Linked DNA regions of Daphnia pulex. The protein of the gene in region 1 purifies or fractionates together with the protein of each later gene. This does not show direct contact. Links are inferred from orthologs where the notes say so. Each region holds a gene or a part of one and is shown in the gene's direction. Other genes may lie near its edges. The genes, in order: transforming growth factor-beta receptor-associated protein 1-like and vacuolar protein sorting-associated protein 33A-like.

The links.
Region 2: the proteins of transforming growth factor-beta receptor-associated protein 1-like (region 1) and vacuolar protein sorting-associated protein 33A-like purify together in Homo sapiens (co-immunoprecipitation; 5 studies listed by BioGRID and IntAct, with this or other methods). This does not show direct contact. The link is inferred for Daphnia pulex from reciprocal best matches to the Homo sapiens genes TGFBRAP1 and VPS33A.

The regions. Positions count from the first base shown.
Region 1 is NC_060020.1:7,293,130-7,297,416, reverse strand, and holds the start of transforming growth factor-beta receptor-associated protein 1-like, read left to right. Parts: upstream 1-1,456; 5' UTR 1,457-1,512; coding exon 1,513-1,590; intron 1,591-1,672; coding exon 1,673-1,725; intron 1,726-1,801; coding exon 1,802-2,309; intron 2,310-2,369; coding exon 2,370-2,530; intron 2,531-2,596; coding exon 2,597-2,930; intron 2,931-3,001; coding exon 3,002-3,124; intron 3,125-3,191; coding exon 3,192-3,457; intron 3,458-3,518; coding exon 3,519-3,963; intron 3,964-4,017; coding exon 4,018-4,272; intron 4,273-4,287. Other genes in the region: group XIIA secretory phospholipase A2-like, read right to left, coding at 95-198, 262-526, 602-669, 747-975. UniProt on the Homo sapiens protein: Plays a role in the TGF-beta/activin signaling pathway. It associates with inactive heteromeric TGF-beta and activin receptor complexes, mainly through the type II receptor, and is released upon activation of signaling.
Region 2 is NC_060022.1:3,591,156-3,595,437, reverse strand, and holds the start of vacuolar protein sorting-associated protein 33A-like, read left to right. Parts: upstream 1-1,342; 5' UTR 1,343-1,664; coding exon 1,665-1,724; intron 1,725-1,779; coding exon 1,780-1,818; intron 1,819-1,877; coding exon 1,878-2,071; intron 2,072-2,132; coding exon 2,133-2,220; intron 2,221-2,283; coding exon 2,284-2,388; intron 2,389-2,455; coding exon 2,456-2,750; intron 2,751-2,822; coding exon 2,823-2,949; intron 2,950-3,011; coding exon 3,012-3,172; intron 3,173-3,259; coding exon 3,260-3,414; intron 3,415-3,480; coding exon 3,481-3,865; intron 3,866-3,925; coding exon 3,926-4,048; intron 4,049-4,124; coding exon 4,125-4,222; 3' UTR 4,223-4,282. Other genes in the region: retinol dehydrogenase 13-like, read left to right, coding at 544-662, 768-857, 1,032-1,136.

The DNA.
Region 1 (4,287 bases):
TGTATTCTAGGCAGTAAATATGCAAAATACGAAATCATGAAAATAAATTATGAAAGACATCATTAAAATTACGAAATCATTTGTGTTTGTGTTTTCAACCGGGGACGCAGACGCAAGCTTGTGATTGAGCCTTTAAGTAAGCACTAAATCCCCAACCATGGACGGATTGATAAAGAACTTCAACAGATGCTTCGCACTCTAAGAAAAAATATTTTATACTGTTAGGAGACGAAATAAATATTTGGTAAAGTAATAACTCACTTTTCTCCCGATCATCGATTAAAGGCTGCTCGCAGTTCTCATTCCAGAATTTATTAGTAAGTACGATGCGAAATGGGCAAATCAAGTACCGCTGCCAGCTTTTAAATGAACAAATTTTTATCAAACAGTTTTTAAATTCTTTATCGCATTGGCCTCGGTGCACGTCAGCTTCCATTGACGAAATGATGTGGCATTTATCGTAACACATATCGTGAGTGTTGCAGCATAGCTCTTGGTCTTTATATGGCAAACATTCAACGTCTATCTACATTATATAAAGAAAAAAATAGCGGAAAATAGATAAAAGAAAATTCTGGGCTGATTTTATTTGTATCGTTACTTTGAGTCCATCAGCTCCACAGCCATTACTAGTCGGGAAATGACTTTGGTTTGGCGCTGCTATAAATCCTGCAAGAATGTAGGTATACATTTAATTATTGATTTATTAGTAAACTGCAAGGGGGTCAGAATATTGTATACTTAACCAGGTGGGCAATCAAACTTCAATTCAGAACTGGAAGGCTGTGACAAAAGATTGATTGAGGATTCCCAGATCTTTGGGTGATAAGCGCAAAAATCTACAAGAGTACTGAAAGTAGCACCAATAATTCCAGTAGACATCATTTTGAAGATAATCCATCTAAGTATTCCGGTCCACCAACCATCCAGGAAAAATAAAGTTACTAGTATGATGGCTACATGTGAATTCTTCATCGTACATCGTCCGATATGGGACGATAACTCTGAGAGAATTCCAGACAATTTGCAGGTTACACAACTACAGTCCGGTATTTTATTTCACTAAGAAGTAAACGGTGCACTCCGCCCGCCCCTTCGAACCTTCCCTATATATTGATAGAAGGGATTTGCAATTGCAACACGCGATACATATATTGATATCTCGATACGATACCTTTTATATTACGTTGAATTACGAAATAAATTTGTTTTTTAAGTTATAATCGCGGCCATTGGTCATAAATATAAACAAATTGGATACTACGAAAATATAGCGTAGTTTGAATGCCCACGTAATTTCAAATCGAAATCGGATTTGATTTTCCTTATTGAATCGATAAACTTTCTATATCGATTAGTGGGGTTTGTTTTGACGTAAGATTTTTTTTTAGTTTTTATTGGATTTGTGTCCATTTGTGTACACGATATTTAACTAAAGAGTACATATAATTAGTAACACAACGCTTCAGCTGCTACCATTTGTTTGATCTCATTAATTTGAGCAATCTTAAAATGAGTGCACAGGCATTTGACATCATATTTGCTGGTAATTTACCCAATCTCTTCATTGATGGATCTCCTTCTACAAATGTAAGTCTTTGTATCTAAAATATTCTTGTTGTATGTATAAATATGATTTTTCAAAGACATTAATGAATAAAATGTCATTTAGATAACCTGCCTGGAAATATGTGGCGATTTCTTATATCTAGGGTGCAAAGAAGGGTAAATTTGCTATACTGTTGGCTTCCCTTTTTTATACCATTGAATGTAATAAAAATTTCGAATTATTGTATCACAGAAACTTACTGAGGTGTAGCTTCAAGAAATCTTCAATCTTACCTGAACAAACAGTAATTATCAACAAAGCCACTCACTGCTACTCAACTACCAGTCCTATAGTACAGATGAAAGCCATATCAGCCTTGACACAGCTGCTTGTGCTTTCTAATGAAACCTTGACTGTGCTTGATTTGGAAACTTTAGCTCTAGTCAGAACATTAAAGTTCAAATCCATCACTTCTTTCCATCTTAATGAGAATCCACTCAATGAAGATCCATTCACAGTGGAGATTTGTGCTGGGTCCAAGAAAAAAATATTGTATATTCACCTTAGTGATGAGCATGTTAAAATAATTAAAGAAGTCTCAACTAGCTTAACACCTTCAACACTGGTGATGGATGGAGCTCACATTTGTTTTGCTATGGGCTTTGAATATTGCATGCTGGATATTCTTTCTGGAGAGATTCAACAGCTATTTGCTGTAGACAACCCACAGCAACCACTCATCATTCACAGAGTCTCAAAGGTGTTTAAATTTAAATGTTGCAAAATATTGCACCTGTTTTAACTTTTCTCCTAATTATAGGGAGAATTTTTATTGAGTGGACCTGGTGGATTAGGAGTATTTGTGTTGTCACAAGGTTTTTCAGATAAACCTCCAATAAATTTTTCCAGTCAAGTCTCAGCTTTAGCCTTTCATCACCCATACATAATTGCAGTGTGTAGACAAGGAATCTGTTTTTACAGGTATTTGAAGAAAAAAAAAAATTCAATCTGATTTGATAATTTTATTTGTAAATTTCATAATTACAGCATTATTGATCAGCAATGCAAACAAACGATAGCTATTGACAATGTTCGGTCTATAGTAAATGGTGATGGTCGAATCTTTGCCTCGACACTGATTGACTTGTTTGCTCTACTTCCTATTTCTTGGGAGACGCAATTAGAGAAATTACTTGCTGACAATCGCATAGAAGAGGCCCTCGTATTAGCTGCTAATGCCCATATCTCTTCTAACGATAGAGAACAGCATAAACTCATGATTAAGGATCTTGAAGAAAAAGTGGCTTTGCTACGATTTTCTTCTGGACGCTTTTTGGATGCAATGGAATTGTTTGAAACATGCAACATTGATCCTCGAAAGGTCTGTTTGTTTTTTACATTTGTGTACAATGTACATGCATAGCATATTAAATAACTTGTGCAACTATTTAGGTGATTGACTTGGACCTTGAACAAATGTTCCCAGAAGAAGAAATGCGCAACAGTTCTTTAGTGGTTTTCCTCGATTTTCTTCAGCGATGGAGACTCAAGTGCTTGACGCCAGATCAGAGGATGGTATGCTAGTTGTGTTTCCGTAGTTTTTCGTGTCATCGCATCTAAATTTGATGTAAAAATTTTTTAGGCAGTCGATTTGGCACTTCTCAAGTATTTAGCAAGGAATGACGACGAAGGAGTGCAGTTGATGGATTTCATCGTAGACTGCCAAGCCGACTCAAGTGAAACATGCGACTGCTTGAAAACTTTTCAAAGGTTCCATTGCTTAGCGACCTACTATATTTCTAAACAAAAATGGGAGGAAGCCTTTTGCATTTGGGATCGATTGATGAAGTCGGACATTGAAGACGTGCATTTTTTAGGATACCCTCATGTGGCCGAGCAGCTGACTAAGTATGAATTCTTTAAAGTTGTTTGTAAATCATTTTCATAAGTTTTTGCGATTTCTACTTAGGTGTGGAGACATCTCACTGATTTGGCGCTTTAGTGGAGAAATCTTAAAGAGGGATGAAGAGATGGGCGCTAAAATATTTACTTCAGAAAAGATACCAGCCGTTAAGCCGCGAGCTGTAATAGATTATTTACGCAACTATCCCAAAAGTTTAAGAATTTTCCTCGAATTCTTGATCGAGAAGAAAATCGACGAGGAGTCGGTTCACACTCAACTAGCTATGATGTATATAGATGACATCAAACGCTCCGATCTGAACCGCAATAGCCCAGGCCATCGAATGACAATTAACAAACTACGAAGTCTTCTTAGAACTTCTCAAAAACTTGAACTAGTTAAACTGTTGGAAATACTTGATACGCCTGGCTTTCCACATGAGCACGCAATCGTTTGTGGAAGACTTGGTCAACATTCCACTGCTATTAATACCTTTATCAACTATCTTAAGGTAGTTAACCTCTTAATATAAAGCAAATAATGTAATTTAATCAATCTTTATCAGGATTTTGATGCTGCTGAGGAATATTGTGCATGTCTAGATGATCCAAAAGCTTGGAATGCCCTGTTGGCTGCCTGTGTGACTGAAGCGAACGTTCATATGTTTGACCGTGTGGCAGATTTATTGCGTCGCCGGCCACATCAGTTTGACGTTCCAACAGCCCTGCTCTGTCTTCCTGATAGCACAAAATTCAATGTAATCGCCCCGTTCGTCAACTTCGCGGTTCGTGAAGCATTACACGAAAAGAGGATGAAGACGGTATTACTGTAGTCA
Region 2 (4,282 bases), on another chromosome or scaffold:
TGATTTTAACGCTTATCAACTTTTTACCAGATACTTTTATTCCAAGTTGTGCCAAGTTCTCTGTACTCGACATCTCGCACCTCTCGTTATCAAATCCGGTATAATAATTAAAGTACAAGTAAATTTAAATGATCAACAATGAAGCAACCTTGTTGTTTGATAGTTCAAGCTAATTTTGATATTTTTAATCACCTCAATTTTAAATTCAATTGTTGCATACGATAAGGTGTAACCGTCAACTGTTTGCATCCTGGTGCTGTCAAAACTGAAATCTTTCGCAACGCTCCAACATGTAACATCATTTTTTATATGTTGTTGTATTCTGATTCAGCCAAATATTACTCGAGTAATTTAATTAGGGTTCCAGATGGTAGCCGCGGTCTGCATTCCACTTTTCTTTAAGGTTTTTTATTTTTTTTTCTTTTTCTGCTGCATTTTAAAAAATCTCATTCCACTGTTTAATTAGTTGTGAATACTTCATTTTCATCAAGCATACATACACTAGAAATTAAATGTATATTAACTTATTATTTTTTCTTATAGGTAAAAACATTACTGTCAATGCTCTTCATCCGGGTGTCGTTCAAACTGAATTTGGTCGTTTCCTTCCTTATGAGACTTTAGTGAAAATTGCATCACATGTGTCTTCTATTTTCTCAAAGGTTTAAGACGAGAAAACTGAGAATTCAATTTTGTTTCCTCATTCATTACTGAGATTGATTTACATATCCGTTGAACGTTATAACTGTCTACCTTCTATATTTCAGTCGGCCAAAGAAGGTGCGCAGACAAGTATTCACTTGGCTGTGGCTGACGAAGTCGCCAACGTTACAGGAGAATATTTCAGCGATTGTAAGGTAAAATATTAACTTAAAACAAAAAACATTTATTAATAATATAGATGCCTGCAAATCAAAGCTGATGCATACAACGATAATCTAAAAGTTGATAAAGATGTACCGGAAATAATATTTGCAATGCAAGTTTTAAATATTTTTCGAATTAAAAATACAATTTTTTTAAAATCACAGATTGCTAAAACGTCCAAGTTGGCAAAAGACCTCGAATTAGCCAAGAAGCTGTGGGAGGTCAGTGAAACTTTTGTCAAGTTGAAGCCAGAAGAGCGCCATTTTTAAAACACCATTAAAACAAGGTGATTGTTTTTGTGGACGTCCAATAAAATAGGAGTTCAATGATTATGAATTTATTTAATGTACTTTATGATAAGCGAAATGACTAATGAGAGGAAAGTGTAATATGTGTTTCCATAATCCGTGTTTTGCTTTTGCCGCTTTTGCCAACTGTCCAGGATAGCCGTTTCGGAAAATGGCAACACTGTATGGTTCCTATCTCAGCTGTTCAGTGTTTACAACTGTAAGCTGTCAGTTGTGCTGATACTTGTCAGTGGTCACTGTTTCTCAGCTTGGGTCTATTTACTAGTTGACTATATACTTTAAAGCAACTATCAATACCAATCATTTACGAAATAATCGAAATATTTCCTCATCAGAAACAAAGAAACAAAAGCTCGGAAACCCTTCGCTTAAGAAATCTAGAATCTGGACAGTTAATAGCGACGTACTTAGACGTATCTTAAAGAATTAAATCTAACAGATCGAATCTGTTTACCAATTTATAAGTCAAATTTTATTAACAAAGCAGCCATGGCTCATTTATCAGCTGGCAAAGTCAACTTTAGTATGCTGAGAGAGTTGGCAAGAAAGGTACAATTTTATACAGTAAAAATAAATTTTGTCAACAGTTTTGTTATTTTTACAGGATATTGTTTCTCTTTTAGAGAAGTTCAGTGGAACAAAGGTATTTTGGTGTGTGCTATTCCATTTAAGAAATTTACGTAAATTCATCAATTATGCTAGGCGATATTTTGGGATGAACAACTCACTGGCCCCATTGGTTTGGTGGCAGAATACAGTTTTCTTAAGGAACTAGATGTTGTAAAAATGTTCCAGTTAAAACCTGGGCGTTTGCCTTCCATATCTGTTAAAAATATACTGTTCATCACAAGACCTGAAGTTGAGCTGATGGATTGTATTGCAGATAACTTGCACAGGTATGAATAATCTACATATTTTAACTTTAAATAGACAACAATTAGTTAATTTACATTTCAGCGAAGAAAGCCAAGGACATTCTGCTAGTAAGGAATATCAGTTAATTTTTGTCTCCCGACGAAGTGCAGTATGTGAGCAACGGCTCAAGGTTGGTTAAAGTTACTTAAATCAGCGAAGAAGAAATTGTTGACAAAATTATTACTTCATTTAGGACAAAGGAGTGTATGGAACTCTTACTTCTATTGATGAACTGCCTGTTGATTTTTTCCCACTGGATAGTGATGTCATTTCAATGGAACTCGATAATGTTTTCAAGGTATTTATTTATGAGCCAAACTTTGAAAGGGATTGCTTGTCATTGATTTCTTCAAATTTCTTCCCAGGATCTATATGTTGATAATGAAATCAGCTCCTTACACCAAATTGCTCATGGGTTAATGTCCCTCCAAAGTTTATATGGCATTTTCCCCAACGTTGTGGGTAAGGGACGCCATGCCCGTAACGTATTCGAATTGATGACTCGAATGCGACGTGATATTGGGGTAGACTGTGATCCCCCCATGTCTCCGTTGTTCGACACTCTCATGATCATTGATAGGACTGTAGATTTGATAACTCCTGTTGTCACTCAGTTGACCTATGAGGGTCTTATCGACGAATTCTATGGAATAAAACATAGTAAGAAAGTATTGTTAGCTTCTGTGTAAAACAATTATTTTACTTGCATTTTGTGGTTTCATTGTTATTTAGATACAGTCAAGCTTCCAGGAGAAAAGTTTCAAGCCTCTTCACCTGCGGGCCAGTCACCTCGCTCTGATGATAGCTCTGTTAAATCTGTTGTTCTAAACTCGGCCGAAGAGCTTTACGCTGATTTGAGGTGAAATTTTGAATCAGACAAATTTTGCTTCCGACAGTTTTAAAGTTATTTATTTTGCACAGGGACAAGAACTTTTCAGCCGTGGGTACTGCACTCAGTCGCAAAGCTAAAGCTATTTCAGCTCAGTATGAAGAACGACACGAAGCAAAAACTGTCAGCGAGTTGAAGCAGTTTGTAGCAAAACTACCGCAGATGCAAGCCACCAAACAGTCTTTAGCACTACGTAAATACTTTGTCGTATTTTTTCCTGGCCATTATTTAAGCTGTATTACGCATTATTTAAGCTGTATTACGCATAATTTTTTTACAGATACATCTGTCGCTGAATTGATTAAAGAAATAACTATTTCAGAAGCATTCCAAGAGGCCCTTCAAGTGGAGCAAGACCTTTTGAATGGAATTGATACTGACAAAGTTTGTCCATACATTGAAGATTTCATTTGTAAGCAGGAACCATTGACTAAGGTAACTGAAGTGGCAGTTGGATACATTTTGCCATTTCCCTTTATTTTACATTTATAATTATCACAGATTCTTCGCTTGATTTGTCTGCAATCTGCTGCCAATAGTGGCCTGAAGCCGCGCGTCTTAGAACACTACAAAAGAGAAATTATTCACGCTTACGGATTCCAGCACATGATTACGCTTCACAATCTTGAAGCTTGTGGTCTCCTTCGATTGCAGCAAAGTAATCGTCCTTTTACTGTTATACGGAGAGCGCTGAATCTTACGGTAGATGACGTCAATGAAATCACACCTACTGACATCTCCTATGTACATTCTATTTACGCGCCACTAAGTGTACGATTGATTCAATGGGCAGCTAAGCCCGGATGGAAGCAGATTTCCGATGTGCTTAATTTGATTCCAGGACATTTGGTTCAAGAAACTCAACCAATTTCCATTGATTTAAGAAGTTTGTTTCCGTTTCTTAGTTTTTATGAGACCTTATAATCACACTTCGACTGTATTTTAGGAAATTCTAGAAATAGTGTCCATAGTTCGATTGAAGAAACCAAGGTCACATTAGTATTCTTCCTCGGTGGATGTACCTACGCAGAGATTTCTGCTCTTAGATTTCTATCTAAAAGGGATGATGGTAAGTAATTAGCGTTCAACATATTTTGCAAATAACAACTTAAACAATAACTTTTTTTTTCCTTAAAATTTTTTAGCACCTACAGATTATCTGATTGCCACGACAAATATAATAAATGGTGAGAGTTTCCTTACTAGTTTATCTGAAACTTTAAATGGTAACTCTCTAGTCTAAGTCTAATGTTATATATTTACCCCATAATTCTACATCTAAATGAAAAGAGTGTTGCATACA